3 linked regions of the Schizosaccharomyces pombe genome follow. Changing the gene in region 2 together with the main gene of any one other region gives a genetic interaction. Each region holds a gene or a part of one and is shown on either strand. Other genes may lie near its edges. The genes, in order: sst6, fab1 and sst4.

Region 1 (4,780 bases), on a different chromosome or scaffold from region 2:
CTACTAAAAGTTTTGTATAATTTAATTTATTTAAATTTTGTTTATTGTTGTTCATTAATTTTAACAACTGATTATATCAATTTCATTAAACGGTTACATAAATTTGAAAATTGTTTACACATAATAATAATAATAAATTTAGGTTCGATAAAATTTCGTAAACAATGACTAGTACATTCAACTGAATTATATATATATATATTTTTTTTTATTATTCTTTAAGCTGATAGAGAGGGTAGTACTAATCGTAAATAGTCAGTACCTCTACTGTACGTAAGCTCGCAATTCTTTGCTCGAATTATTTACCACAAAATTGCCTTGCCTTGACATATATTAAATACAGCTACAATTTTCAAGCTTATTTGCTGAAAATAATTGTCGAATGAATATATTTTAATTTGACAATATTTAAATTGCTTCCGCAATCATGGATGATGAAGTCTATAAACAAAGACTCACAGCTTTGAATAATTTGCGTATTGTCATTTTCTTCGATATTCTTATTATATTGTTAGGCTACATAGGAACTTGGAACTTAAAAACTTTACAATTAGTAAATCCTAGCTTATGGTCATTTTCTCCATCTCTATGGATATACATTAGGTATCTTATTTTATGTCGGAAGGAATTTCTTTCTTCCGGCGTATTTTTTAACTAATTGAGATTCATGAGAATCTTAACATGAAGAAGTTCTAACTATTTCAATCAGGGGAACAGTTCTTTGTGCAGATTGCATATTTACAGCGGGTTCGGCAAACGAATACTCTGCCGTTCAAAATTCTGTGTTCCAAGTTTCCAGCCTTATGTTTTATGGCTTGATGATGGAATTTTTTGGGTATTCTTTTGATGTATGTATTTATTTATTAAATTTTCTGGAGAATTCTTAATTAATGATTGTAGAGAGTTGGTTGCATGGAACTCGCTTTCATAAGCTTTTCCGCTGCTTGCTATTTTAATATAAGGTCAATTAAATCTCTATCTTTAAAAAATAAAAATTGGACAATAATCAGCATAATTGAAATTCCTATCAAACTGCACTTCATACTTAATGTTCTGCTGTTTCTTAAGTTTTCTGAATACATGCTTCCTTTACTTGGCAGAGTACATTTGTCCTATCATTTATTTGCATTATGGGTTATTAATTTGTATATTTGGATTAAGTTGATTGACTCCAAGGATTTTGTACTAGGATTTCTTGCAGGATTATCCGTACTTCTTTTAAATACGGGTTCATTAATTACAGCAAAACCACTTATTTCTTACTTCAATTTATTAACTTCCTGTTTAATTATTTTCCCTAGTATATGGATTTATGCAATTGTAAGCAAAAATTATGTTATCCAATCTAACCTTTCTAGGAAAAGAAAAATTTTAAAAACCTAAGTTATGAGGACGATGATTATCGAAATTACTGGTAATGGAGATATTTTTTACAAAAAAATAAATAAAAGAATAATATTTATCTTGTCCATATATTCCTAAAAATGTCGACACTGAAATTCACATCACTATAATCTTAAGAGTATTGAAGCATTTCGTCCCGTATTAAAAATTGTTGTCTAGCTAACAGCTTTATTCCCTTTAACCAAGATGCGGGCATGATTGATTCATGATGCAAGGCCTGATTCAGGGCTCGAATTCCTTCATCCAGTTTTTCGTCCTTACGTTTAAGTTCATAATATTTTAGTTCTCGTTCGGAGGGTATTATAAATAGTTCTTGAACAGATAAGTCTTTTAAATTGTCCAACTTCTGTAGGGCTTCTCTGGCTTTTCTCCTTCTTTTTCCTAAGATGAATCTATTGTTTTCAATATTTTTAGCAAGTGTTTCTAAAGCGTGTCTTTCTTGATCCAAAAGCCTTTGCTTAACCTCTAAGTTTTTAGATATTCGTATTTGTGAAATCCATTTTTCTTCAATAATTTTGTTCTGTTTATGTAGAATTTGCTGAATTTTCACAGGGTCAACATTGGGCTTAAAGTCTTCTGAATACAGTAGCTCAGACGAACCTTTTAAAGGGGTTTCAATATCTGTATCTATAAGGTTGAGCAAACTTTGGGACTCAATTTTTTTTCCTGTCGAGAACACTGAAACTTGTTGAACGATCTGACCTTTAGAAACTTTGGGTTTTTGCGGTAACAGAGCAGGCTTTGAATATTTGTCTTTAAGTGAAGGCGTGTCTTTGGTAATTATTATCTCATTTTGTTCAGGTTTTGGTGGAATAGGTTTTTGGGCAGGAATGTTAGAACTTGGTCGCCTCAATGAAACAGAATCGTGAACAAGCTGTTGTGATGTAGCTGAAAAAGGTGCTGTATTCAGAGAAAAAAGCGTACTTTGAAAAGAGGAAGAATTGGAATTTGTTTCTTGTCCTAAGGAACTATTAGCGGTAATTTTTAAAGGCTTAGGCGGTAGTTTGGAAGGTAACGCAGGCACCTTTCGGAAATGTTGTTCAGAGGAAGATGAGAATGGTTTAGCAGGGATAACAGGAGGAGCTTCATTTTCTTCTTTCACTTTGAGCTTTTCAATAGTATTAACGAGTTTTGTCGGCAGTTCAGGAGGAGAAGTATGTTCTCTTTCAAAGTCTTGCTTTATTAGAGCTTGAACTAAACGATAGATATTAAAAACAGACCGTTCATTTTTCCAAAGTTGTAGTAGAAGACTTGTGTACTTATGCTTTCCTCCTTTTTCATCCAATAATTGTACTATTGGCGGCTGTGATGGATAATAAGAGCGAACCGTTATACAAGCCGAGGTTAAAATTGTTTTGTCAAATGCTGGAGTACTCAAATAAATGCGGACCTCTTCTATTTTGTTTTCGTCTTGCGTATCTACTTCAATATTAATTGCTTGAAGTGTAAACGTGTCTTCACATTGTTTTCTAAACAATAATTCTAGTTCTTCAGCAAGTCCATTCTTCCAAAATCTAATCTATTTTTCAGGTTAAATTGGTAAAAAAACAAGCGGTACCTTTTCAATTGTATTCAAAATTCGTGAAGGGTGTTCATTGATTGCATGATCTGACATGGTAAAAAGAAACGAGGCGCACTTATGCAAGCACGTGATTAAATCTTATAGGATTTAAAGAAATCAAATAAAGTTAGCTGGTTTTCGAAAACCTATTAATTGCAAGCACCACTTGTGAAATTGATTTTGAACAGATGGTCGTTTTCTTTACGCATTTTATCGTTGTAATAAATAACGTCAATGCTGCATCTCTTTTTTAAATAAACTGTATAATATTACAATATATCGTTATATCAAGCGATAAAACAGGTAACGATACTCAAGATTATTTTCAATTGATGCCATATTAACATTAACGCCAAGTTTATTTTAAGTGCTACATACTCAATTTCTGAAATTGACGATCTGATAGTATATAATATTAGGATATGAATTTATAGACTGATAGGAGCAGTTATGAAAAATTCACAAAGTACCAATACGCTCAGATTTCTTATTCAATATTTTGGAAATGTGTCGTATCCATAAATATAAACTAAGGTAGCAACTATAATTGAGGATCATTGTTCTCACATACGTATTCCACTTCTCTTTTAACACCAGCAATACTACAATTGCAAGACTATTGAAAGGTTAATTACGGCAATAAACCGAGCAGTTTGCATTTTTATTGAAAGAATTATCTGATATTTGTTTATCAATAATGACAATTTGGAACGTAGCTGCATTGACAGGTAGGTTCTAGCACAAGTAATAGACTGGTATATAACCTTTATATACATTTACTTTTTGTTAAACAACCTATTTTACGTTATCTAACAATAAAAAAGGACTGCTCAGCGTAGGTTTAGGTGCATATGGATCTCACGGGTTGCAAAAACGTGTTCAGGATCCACATTTATTGAAGGTAGGATTTATGCATTTTTATTTCATGATTGTAACTATTTTAACATAAAATTATAGTCATGGTCCACTGCTTGTACTTACTTGATGTTCCATTCATTGGCAACCATGGCCGTTTCTTTGCATCCAGTTTACGGGAAATCTCGTTGGACGGGACCCCTGCTGATTACAGGAAGCTGCTTGTTTTCTGGGACAATTTATGGACTTTGTTTATTGCCTAAAGGACATAGTCTGCGACGAATTCTTGGGCCCTTGACACCAATTGGAGGACTAGTGATGCTTACAGGGTGGGCTACAATGCTAGTTTAAGAGAGCTTTAATTTAGATGCTTTTTGTTTTACCAGTACAGACGCAAGTATTAATGATGTCGTTTCTAAAATACTAGCAGATAAAGAATATGTTATGATTTTATTGGGTCCCAAGTAAGCGAACAAAAAAGAGAGAAAGGATATAAGGGGAATACAAGTATTTAAGATGAGTTAACGTGTTTACTTCAAAGTAATCAAATCCTTTTCCAACAAGTAATTGACGATTTTTTCAACACACTCTTCAATCGATTGAGTATGAGAAGAAACCACGATTTCAGGAGAAATGGGAGCCTCATAGGGAGCAGAAATTCCTGTAAATTCTAAAACCGGTTAGCCTTAATTTTATAGGGTCATCTATTTAAAAACATTGAGAAAATGGAATTTCCTGAGGGGAAAAAGTATCTTTAATGTGTAACAATTACCTACCTTTAATCTCACCAGCACGAGCACGCTTGTACAAACCCTTTGGATCACGCTGCTCGGCAACTTCCACTGGACATTCAACATAAACCTCAATAAAAGGAAGTCCATCTTTTTTATGAAATTCGCGTGCTTGATCACGATCCTTGCGATAAGGAGAAATGAAGGAAGTTACTGCAACTACACAGGC
Region 2 (5,730 bases):
GAACAAGAGGAAGTCGCATAAGTTTTATAGATTTATGAAATGTTTTCAAGTGCATGAGCAACAATTGCGTGAATGCACAAAATACGTCTTTGCCAATAAAGCGCTCAAATCATAAGATTAGAAAGAAAAATTCTTACGTTATGGTTTATTTACAAATCTAAATGCGTCCTAAAAATTTTATTTTGGTTAGTTGACTACAAAGTAAAAAAAAAAATAAGGTAAAGGAAACGATATACAGTCAATGAAATGAGTATTTTTCTAACTCTACTAGAATGATTATTTTCTAGATCTCTCTAGAAAGATAGCACAGCCTTGCGTACCGAAGTTTATATTTGAATCTGCCTCGGTTGTGGCGCATAAGTGGCAAATTTGGACTTTTCTAGAGCAAGCACTAACGAACATCTAAGTCCACCCAATACAGAGTTTGAGTGTTAGCAAAAGACGCCGTTCCGAAAGTACAAACTCCGGCAAATTCGTGATCTTTCACAACGTTTACGAGAAAATTCGAGTCATCGTACAATATATGACATCCATCCCATTCCGTGCTTCCCAGAAAGGTATAAATAAGGGTACTCCTTCCGCTAGTCCAGCATCGAACAAATACAGATTTGAATTGAATTCATATAATTTCAAGTTACTCGCAATTGTTTAAATTTTAAAAAATGTCTTTGCAACCTTTTTTCGGCTTTCCCCCTACTGTCAACGACTTGTTCTCTGACTTTGTTAGTTACTCCCCTCGTTTGAACAACCAAATTCCTGGGGAGTTGTCTCCTTCGATTGATGTGCATGAGGGTAAAGACACTGTTAGCGTTGATGTAGAACTCCCTGGTGTTAAGAAAGAGGACGTTCAAGTCCATTATGATAGCGGAAAACTTACTATTTCTGGCGAAGTCGTCAATGAGAGAAAGAATGAAAGCACCGAGGGTAACCAACGCTGGTCAGAGCGTCGCTTTGGCTCATTCTCTCGTACCATTACTATTCCAGCCAAGATTGATGCAGATCGCATTGAGGCCAACTTCAGTAATGGCCTATTGACTGTCACCTTGCCCAAGGTCGAGAAGTCCCAAACTAAGAAACAAATTGCTATTAAGTAAAATCGTCTCTTCCGATTTTAATATGATAGTTTCGAAATGGTTATGAGACCAATCTTGTTGGATTGTGAGCATATATTATTGTTTGATTTAACAATCAATCATAACATATGCAATTAATGATCCGCTTGCCATTGGATTGATGAATTTTGATAATGAATTGAACACGGTCTTCTAAACAGTAAAAGAGCATTTAAATTCCACATCAAGCAATTTATGGCCAGCTGTCAGACAGTGTTTTAATGATCTTGACTACCACTTGTTACGATTCTCCAATGATGAGCAAGTGATCTCTAGCAATTTTTCAAAATAAATAAATAAATAAATATTTTTTTATTCCTAATTAGAAAACAAGTTGTTTCAAAATGCTCTATCGTAATATGTGTAGATTTATTTTTATTTTTTTCAAAAAAAAAGAACAGTATTATGTAGCTCCTAATGAATTAACAGGAGTTACATTAGCATATCATAAAGTTGTGTATGCTCTTTGAGTCTTAAATCACCGGGGCAATGAAATCGTCTTCCTTTTGCGGAGATCTGATAATATGCTCTTAACAATTTTTGGTTTTATTAGTGAGCCATAAGGTTTGTTTAAGCGGAAGTTTTGTGATTTCATGTTAGGGACAAGGGCTTCATAGATGTGTTCCTTTCTATTTTTATTCTTTATATTACTAGTTCATTGGTTCATGGACACGCTAACCTAAAAGTAGTTAAATCTCCTTGGCCTTGAGCGAGTGTTTCCATACTACCACTAATCCTTGGGTGATCCAATGTTTCCTATAAAAAAAAGTACACATAAATATATAGCCTAGGGTACCTTTCTTTTTCAGTAATCAACATACAGTTTAAAGTTAAGAATGTTATGGTTTTCGTGTGTGATTAAACCAAATTCTTGTTTGCTATAATATCTAGCTCTACAGTAAAGCCGAAAGCTCTTGTATTGCTATGGCTTTGTAAAACTTAAATTCGGCGAATCTCGTTAATATACACTATTCTATCAACACCAAAACCTAAAGTATTTATTATCAAACAGCTGCGTTTAACGTACATGCTTTTCGATATAACAATCATGACAATTCATAGAACTTAATTAATAGAACCAATAATTTCCGGAGATAATTTTAATCTTCGGTTTGCATTTCTGTTCAAATGTCAGAAGTCGAAACGCCTACCGCAGCCTCGCCCACTTTTCCTGTTGAAACCTCTCACCGTTTAGATACTTTGCATACATCAAGCACAGAGCAAATCATTAAAGATTCCGAGAATGTTGTCCACACTACGTTGAAATTGCCGACTAGTACGTTGTCGCGCGAATTTTGGATGAAAGATGAAAGAACAAACAACTGTTCATTATGTGAGACGGAATTTACTTTATTTCGAAGGAAACATCATTGTAGAATATGTGGGAAAATTATCTGCAAATATTGCTTAAAAGAAGCTCCTGGATTTATCTTTCGTCTCCAAGGATCGATCAAAGTGTGTCGTCCATGTGCTTCAATTTTAGTTAATAATTATTCTCGAAGCCAGCTATTCAATCATTCATTAAACGAATCCAAAAATAGAGATCTTACGGAGCAACATCCGTTTGTTACACTGGACGAACTTAATTCGAATGATCAAGTACTATCATCATTTGGAGATTTAAGTAGCACATTTGAGATGCCTAATAATATTCATCCTCCTGAAGTTGCTCCAATGATAGCTATTCCCTCTAGTCGCTCGAATTATGATTCTCCTGGTTGGGCTCACCATTCCATCTTTCTTGACTGGAGCAAAAGGAATTTAGATTCGAATGTTATAAATGTTGAAGATTCCGAAAGTGGTAAATATAATGCTTTAACCATTACAAATAGTTACGATGCTGGTCCTAGCTCTGTTTCCACAGATTATCGTCCCGTCAATTTTGGAAAAGTACCTTCATACTCAAAGTTAAGAAAGAATAAAGCGTTTTCCTCAGCGAAAGTCTCTGATATGTACTTGTCGGCTGATGAAAGAAACCGGCTCGAGGATTTTAGCAAAGGCGACAGAGGCCTTTCATTTGTTAACCTTTCTCCAAATATAAAAGCAACGTCTTACGATCGATTGAGCACAGTAATAAATGAACCCTTTATTTCAAGAAGTTCTTCCTTGACTGATGAACGGGGTTTGGCCGATTCGGGCAATTCCTATCATCATTTCTCCGACTCCGACGATGAATCACTATTCAATGATGGATTGGGCCTTTCTTTTCATGCCAATAGTGCAATTATTAAGCAACGCCAGCAAAATGTTGCATCAATTCAGCGTTACGGTAATGAAAGTTACTTATCAAATTTTTTAAAAGCTTTTCTTCCGAAAACGGTTTGCGACTATCTTTTTCCTTCTTCTACTATTCCCGATGGACTTCCCGCTTTAATTGAAAACTTCAATGCGCGAGTTGATAAGGTGAATCATCCCGGTGGAACAGAAGAGCCTCTTCCTTACCAGGGAAAGTCGCGTGCTTCTTCTGTAGTTACCTCTTCCAAAAGCACATGTATTTTACCACCTTGGATTCTCTTCTCTGATTCATTTAATCAGCTTGTATGTACTTTTCTGGGAAAATTACTCTTTCAAATGCTAAATGATGAGGGTGTGGATTCGCCTATGCAATGGGTACTTTGTCTCCCAAAAATTCTTTTAAAAATGGCTTTGGATCTAGGTCCTGATATTCGCTCTGGTGATGATATTGATGTCCGCAGCTATGTAAAAATAAAAAAGATTCCCGGGGGAAGCATTCAAGATTGTTTTCTTGTTAATGGTGTTTTGTTCTCAAAAAAAGCTTCGTCCAAATCTATGGACCGCTCGCTTCGTCGGCCTCGTATAGCTCTTTTAACTTTCAGTTTAGACTACGCTTGTGACGAACAGAGAATTTTATCCTTGGATTTAATCATCTCTCAGCAAGAAGAGTATATTATAAATCTTGTCAATAGAATCTGCATGCTTAAACCGAATCTAGTTTTTGCTCAGGGTCAAATCCCCAGTATTGCCTTGAAGTACTTTGAAGAACATGGCGTTATAGCCTTTCATGGACTTAAAGAATCAGTTTTATATGACATAGCTAGATGTTGTCGTGCAGACATAATATCGTCAATAGATAAATTGTCGCTTTGTCCTCGTCTTGGTACTTGCGGCAGGTTTCAACTCAGAACGTATGTTGTCGATGAAAACAAAGGGTTGAGGAAAACGTTTGCTATACTTGATCGCTGCTCGGAACGTTTAGGCTGCACCATAGTTCTAAGAGGAGCTGATTATAATCAGTTGAGCAAGGTCAAGAAGATTGTCGAACTTGTTGTTTTGATTGCATATCATATCAAACTTGAATGTGCCTTGTTAAGAGACAAATTTGTGAATATGCCGGAGCTTTTTGAAACAACCTATCAAAGTTTGTCTAGGAAATCGTTGCCTTCGTTTGCCTCTACTGCAGCTGATAAAGAGAAAAGCCAAAATCATGAAAAAAAATCTCTGAACAGTGATAATCAAAGTTTGCGACCTTTGGAAAATGAAAATCAAAGTGTTTCTAGCACCCAAGGTAGCAACAGCCCGCTTGAGTTGATCAATAACTTACCAGCCTCAGATGACTATTCTTCTATTACCAAGGCTTTGAAAACCAGATTTTTAACGTTTTCACCCTTTTTATCAAAGCCTCTTCCACGTTTATTAAACCAAGTTAATTATTACCAGTTTATTCGTAACAAATTACTGAAAGATGTGAAGTTACATCCATACTCACCAACTGGCTCATTCGTAATGAAGCAGTCCGAAAATGACAATGTAGAAGAAAGTTACGAAGAGTCCTATAAATTCTTTTGTATTGATGAACGTTATCATTTTTTAGAAAAGCAGTGGACACTTTATTACTCTCATTCAAAACTCATGTTTTCTCCATTTTCTTCTCAAAGGATTATTTTGTTATATTCCATTATTAACAAGGAAACTTCTGTTCCTTGTATTGGCCCTGAACGTTGTCTATTAGAATTTTATCGAGAAACTGATTGCACTCTTGGTCAGTACATAGAGGACTCATGCTTGAATACCAATGTAAGTTGTGGAGGTGAGTATTGTAAAACGAATGATATGCTGTGGCATTACAGGAGTTATGTTCATGGAAATAGTCGGATCAGCGTTTTTTTGGAATCTTTTTCGTGCCCTGTCCCTGGTTTGGAAGAAAAGATAATTATGTGGAGTTACTGCAAATTCTGTAAAAAGAATACACACATTACTGTTATGTCTGAAGAAACATGGAAATATTCGTTTGGAAAATATCTTGAATTCATGTTCTATAATTCTCAAATAAGGGATCGCTTCGAATTCTGTGACCACAGTGTTATGGCACAACATGTTCATTATTTCGGTTATTGCAACATGGCTTTACGATTTCAAAGAGACCTAATAGAGATTTTTGAACTCTTCGTTCCATCGGTCACTTTACGAAATAATCCATCATATATTAAAGAGCTGAAAGAAAAGGAGTATAAACGTTTAAAAGGTGTCATTGAAAAATGCTTGTCTTCTGTTGCTTCAAGGATAAACCAAATAAAGTGCGATTGGGTTACTGATCCTGAGAAATTTGAGTCTTGTACATCTGAAATTTCAAAATTTCGCACTTTACTTTCAAGTGACT
Region 3 (5,192 bases), on a different chromosome or scaffold from region 2:
TCCTCCAGACCCTAAAGATACTACACCACGTGTGGTTACATTTGCTAACACTGATGATTATATCAGTTTCCGTCACCACATTTACGCCAAAACAGGCCCAAAGCAGATTATTCTATCTGAGGCTGGTCCTCGCTTTGAGATGAAACTATTTGAAATTACCCTCGGCACCGTTGATATGGTAGACGCTGATGTGGAATGGAAATTGAAGCCTTACCAGCGTCACAAACGTGATGTTTTAGCTGAATGAGCGTAGGTATGATGGGTATGGTCAAACGGTTATTTTAGGTTCATTTGGGATACAGGTAAATAATTACAATTCTTTTATGTATAGGCAAGGCCATTAGAGTGAATGGTATCTTTGATAAATAAGGAGGCAAAACTTTCTAGTATTAGTGGTTAATGGTTATACTATTCAAAACATTAGTGAAGTAGAACATATATCAGTAGCGATTGTACTTGGGTTCCTTTTTTATATTTTAATTAGTTTACTTGAGCAATGTTTATGTACAGCTTAAAGTTTAAGCACTGTATTTGTCTTTTTAAAAATACCAACCTTTTAACTTCGGACCTACGTTATTATGGTGAATATTCCAACCAAATGACATTCCATATTTTTCGCTAAACTTCTATTTTTTTGATTTCTTGATTTTCTTCTTCTTGTATTGCTTTTCAACTTCATCAATTTGGGCATCGGCAGCTTTTATTAGTTTTTCAGCAAATTCCGGATCGGTAATTTCTTTGCGTGAATATTCAACTATCGAACATTCATTTACAAGGACGGGTTGAGTAATCGAAGCAAATTCGGGACTGCAAATAGCATGAAAAAATGATTGAGCACCATGAATAGTACCTTTCAGAAGAAGCCACCAAAACGGCCAAAGTAACAAATAAAGAAATAATCCCCAAACCTTTCCAAAGGATACAACTCTTCGAAATCCTGGAGTTCGAACGACACCTGGATTTGCCATGATGGTATGTAAATTACACGGCATTTTGTCAGGTCGTTCATGAGCTTCAGCTTTTTTCTGAAAATCATAAAGATAAGTCATCAAGGCAAGTTTGGCATTTCCCACTACCTTCCAGGGACTTTTTCGAGGATATGGATGATTAGATAAATCAAGATCGTTGAAATCTATATTACCTAAAATATATGATGAACAGGTAGCTGCAACAATTCGTACTTCCCTGTGCCCGGGCTGACCATATATAACTGGGCGGAGAATCCTAAGTAGCTGGTATGGACCTAAGAAATTTGTAGCCCATTGCAACTCAACACCTTCCTCGGTAGTTTGCCTATCCATAAATGGAGGCAGTAAAACTCCACTGCACAAAACTATCATATCCAGCCTACGAATAGGAGTGCAATCAATCCACTTTGTAGCGAACTTCCTAACAGATAACATAGAGCTCAAGTCACAGACTTCAGTATAAATTAGTTGGTTTTTTGTACGCTTTCTAAGGTCCATTATGTAATCTACAGTAAATTGATCTGGCTCTGTACGAAGTAGAATAACAACTTGAGCTCCCAGAGAAGCTAATTTCTCTACGACAACTTGTCCTATTCCAGAACTTCCCCCAGTGACCATGACTACCATTCCGTTCATTTTACGCTCCCAAGTTGTTGTTCGTCCAGAAGTCCAGAATTTAAAGGCCGCAATTGTTGAAACCGCAATCGCAGCCTTTGTATATTGAGCCCAATGTGTAATTAGATGCTCATACTTAAATTGTGCTATGTGAGCAATAATTGGAATAGGCATATTTCGTTGATTTACAAAATCTGTTGATGGAGTTGGCAAAAGGCAGCTACATACCACTGACATTGAGGTATACTAAACTCGTCTTCATATTTAATTCTTAACAATCAAAAATTTAAAACTTTTTTTTATACAATTGTTTTAACTTTAGATGGATTTAATTGTACAATTATTTAATCGCTTGACTGCTAGTGCATATTACTAATAGCAACTAGCTCCATAAATTTGACAAAGATAGGATTGAATTGTTTTTGTATATATACATAATGTAATTTATGGACCGTAAAACAGATTGCTTACAAATTGGAAAGTAAAATAGACTGTTTATATGATATATATGTGAAATTTGAAGATATACTAAATACTTGTTTTAACATAGGAAAATTAAGTATGTGTATACTACAACATTTGACATATTATTTTTTATAATATTTCAAGAAACACTGTGATAGTATATAATTCGCATAGCAAATATAAATTATTACGGTCTGTCTTATTAGCACCTACCAGAAGTACAGCACTCAATGGTGAGGTATCGTTTTCCTTCTTTGCTTATTTATGGTACCTTCAAAAAGGCTGAAACTACATTGCACGCTTTAGCTTGATCTACCTAATGAGTCTATAAACATCATCGATATTTACGACAATTAGTGTTCTCTCAATACTTGCTTTACTATATTTGCCGCTCTGCACTATCAACCGTTATACCGAGATGTGCTAAGCTGCCCGCACTATTACTTAGCAAGTTTGAGCCACGAACAATCTGTTATTGCTGTCGAGAACCAAACTCTTTCTCAAATTGAATTTTATTGGAAAGGAGGATTTACAATACATTATTTTGCCATAATTTCAAACAATCAGAAGAATTGTGCCAAAGTTGTTATACTTCACCTGCTGCTTTTGTTTATTAGGAATTTTTGAAGGCCATTGGTTATTTGTTTGGTGACAATTTAGCTTACAAATAATAAAAAGATTTCTTTTGTTTCTTAATTTCGGTTTTTCTTTTCTTCTCTATTTTCATAACGATGTCTCGGTGGTGGAATTCCAATTCTCAGTTTGCTTCCGACATAGAAAAGGCTACATCGGAAACGCTTCCTGCTGGCTCTGAAGAAATTTCATTATATTTAGAAATTTCTGATCAAATACGTAGTAAGTCTGTTGATCCGAAATTTGCTATGCGTATTCTTAAATCCCGAATTGATCATTCGAATCCGAATGTTCAAATAATGGCATTGAAGTTGACAGATACCTGCGTTAAAAATGGGGGTTCCGGTTTTTTATTGGAAATAGCTTCTAGAGAGTTTATGGATAATTTGGTATCTATTCTACGATCTCCTGCAGGAATAGACGAAGACGTTAAAATGGTCATTTTACGATACATTCAGTCTTGGGCTTTGGCAGTTCCAGATACCAATTCTCCACTTAGTTATATTATTCATGTTTATCAAAATTTAAAAGACGGTGATTATGAGTTCCCTGAGCCTTCTCAGAACATTACTAGCAAATTTTTAGATACTGAAACACCGCCCGATTGGACAGATAGTGAAGTTTGTCTTCGTTGTCGTACACCTTTTACATTCACTAATCGTAAACACCATTGTAGAAATTGCGGTGGCGTGTTTTGCAATCAATGTTCTTCAAAAACACTTTCTCTTCCTCACCTTGGAATTAACCAGCCTGTTAGGGTATGCGACAGTTGTTATTCATTACGTACGAAACCCAAAGGTTCCAAATCAAGAGCGCGAAATGAAAGGAAATTCCATGCGAAGACTAGAAAGACACCCTCTAAACCCGTAACTAATAATGAAGACGAAGATATCAAAAGAGCTATTGAGCTTTCCCTCAAAGAAATGCCTCAATCACGAGAACCTCCATCTTATGAAAGACCTTCAGAGGCCAATGTAGTTATTAGTCAAGACCAACATCTTACAGAAGACGAAGATGAAGAGCTTAAACGTGCTATTGCTATCAGCCTTGAGGAAGCACAGAAGTCATCTCAAAAGGATGACAATGTTACGGCACCTAACAATATGAATATTTCTTACCCTAGTGTTCCAGCTCACACCGTTTCAACTGATATTCGATCATCTCCTTTCTCTGGTAGGCCGAGTGATAATCCTTCTACTTTAATTTCTACTGCGGATGCTGATAACATCACTTTATATGCTACTTTGGTGCAAAAGTTAAAAAAGCTACCACCTGGGTCTATTTTTACGGAATATCAGCTACAGGAACTCCACGAAAATATGGGTGTTATGCGAACTCGTATGATGCGATCGCTTGGTGAAACAATGAGTAAATATAACGGGCTAATTCAAGCTTTGCAAAAGCTCCAAACTTGTATGCGATTGAATGATGCTCTAATAGAACAAAGACTTTCATCCACGTATGCACATCATTATATTGATTCTAGCATGGATTCAAACCGATCAATTGAACCTGAGCCGGATGTAATTAGCACTGTGAGGAATAGTTCAACCATTCCCCAGGCTTCGTCTTCTTCTGTCCCGAAAATCGTTGTCGATTCGTCTCCGGTAACAGAAAATCCCCCTAGTCATTCTGATGTGATGGGTCAGAAAGATACTATCTCCAGTTATTACTCGACGGATACAGACGTTTCTGCGAATGTAATGGGAAATCGACACGATGAAGTTGTATTTTCTGACACCGCATCTGGTGAAAAGAATACAAAATTAAATATCGATGAAAGTACCAACTATTATAATACTGATTCAATCGATAAAGTTGGAGAGCCTTTTGACGAAATTTCCTCTGGTTATGATGATTTAATGAATGGCAATGATAAGCAAGGTAATGATATTCCTGAAGTTCAAGAAGCATCTTTAATCGAGCTTTAGGTTTTAAACATCTTATAATACATATTAAATACTTAGATCAATTTATCGACAATGCATGTCTGTTTACGATCCTTTTAATATTTTTTTGTTTTTCAAAATTGATCAATTGTAACCTAAAATTCAGAATGGTGAATACATACGTAAACTAAACTAATAAACGACTATAGACTCCGAACCTGGGTAGTTATTTGTAAATCAAGCGCTCTCAGTCTCCACAGTTGCGGCAGAGACTGCTTCATTTGAAAAAGCCTCCTTGGAGTTTTTCCAGTCAACAGTTGAAGCATCAAAAGGTGAAAATTTGAGGTAACACATATCTTGAGGAAATGTCGTAGCGAAAATCATTTGAGTATCAGAGTCAGGGGTTCTTTTATGTTTCCAATCAAGCATGATACTGGCCTTTCCAATGCAAGCAATTAAATGATTAACGGCATAACGCTGGCCCAAACATACATGAGGACCATTACCAAAAACCATCCAATTCTTAGGACTTTGCTCGGCAAGACCATTTGGTGCCCAGCGGTCAGGATTAAATGTTTCTGGCTCTGGATAAACCTTAGAATCGTGAAGTGCACCATAGAGG

Evidence for each region.
Region 1: of fab1 (region 2) and sst6, changing one suppresses a phenotype caused by changing the other (phenotypic suppression), as found in Schizosaccharomyces pombe (one study listed by BioGRID).
Region 3: of fab1 (region 2) and sst4, changing one suppresses a phenotype caused by changing the other (phenotypic suppression), as found in Schizosaccharomyces pombe (one study listed by BioGRID).

What each region holds. Positions count from the first base shown.
Region 1 is NC_003424.3:4,774,077-4,778,856, reverse strand, and holds sst6 (ESCRT I complex subunit Vps23), read right to left. Parts: upstream 3,169-4,780; 5' UTR 3,020-3,168; coding exon 2,963-3,019; exon of another isoform or gene 2,924-2,962; coding exon 1,517-2,923; 3' UTR 1,419-1,516; downstream 1-1,418. Other genes in the region: protein mug162, read left to right, coding at 428-603, 710-848, 901-1,320, 1,359-1,418; SPOM_SPAC1782.12C (uncharacterized protein), read left to right, coding at 3,663-3,693, 3,790-3,866, 3,923-4,171; met14 (adenylyl-sulfate kinase), read right to left, coding at 4,351-4,490, 4,597-4,780. UniProt on the Schizosaccharomyces pombe protein: Component of the ESCRT-I complex, a regulator of vesicular trafficking process. Binds to ubiquitinated cargo proteins and is required for the sorting of endocytic ubiquitinated cargos into multivesicular bodies (MVBs).
Region 2 is NC_003423.3:2,655,854-2,661,583, reverse strand, and holds the start of fab1 (1-phosphatidylinositol-3-phosphate 5-kinase Fab1), read left to right. Parts: upstream 1-2,126; 5' UTR 2,127-2,240; coding exon 2,241-5,730. Other genes in the region: heat shock protein Hsp16, read left to right, coding at 663-1,094.
Region 3 is NC_003424.3:2,475,340-2,480,531, forward strand, and holds sst4 (ESCRT 0 complex subunit sst4), read left to right. Parts: upstream 1-2,531; 5' UTR 2,532-2,779; coding exon 2,780-4,612; 3' UTR 4,613-4,692; downstream 4,693-5,192. Other genes in the region: U3 snoRNP-associated protein Imp4, read left to right, coding at 1-247; pbr1 (putative dehydrogenase), read right to left, coding at 627-1,757; C-22 sterol desaturase Erg5, read right to left, coding at 4,808-5,192.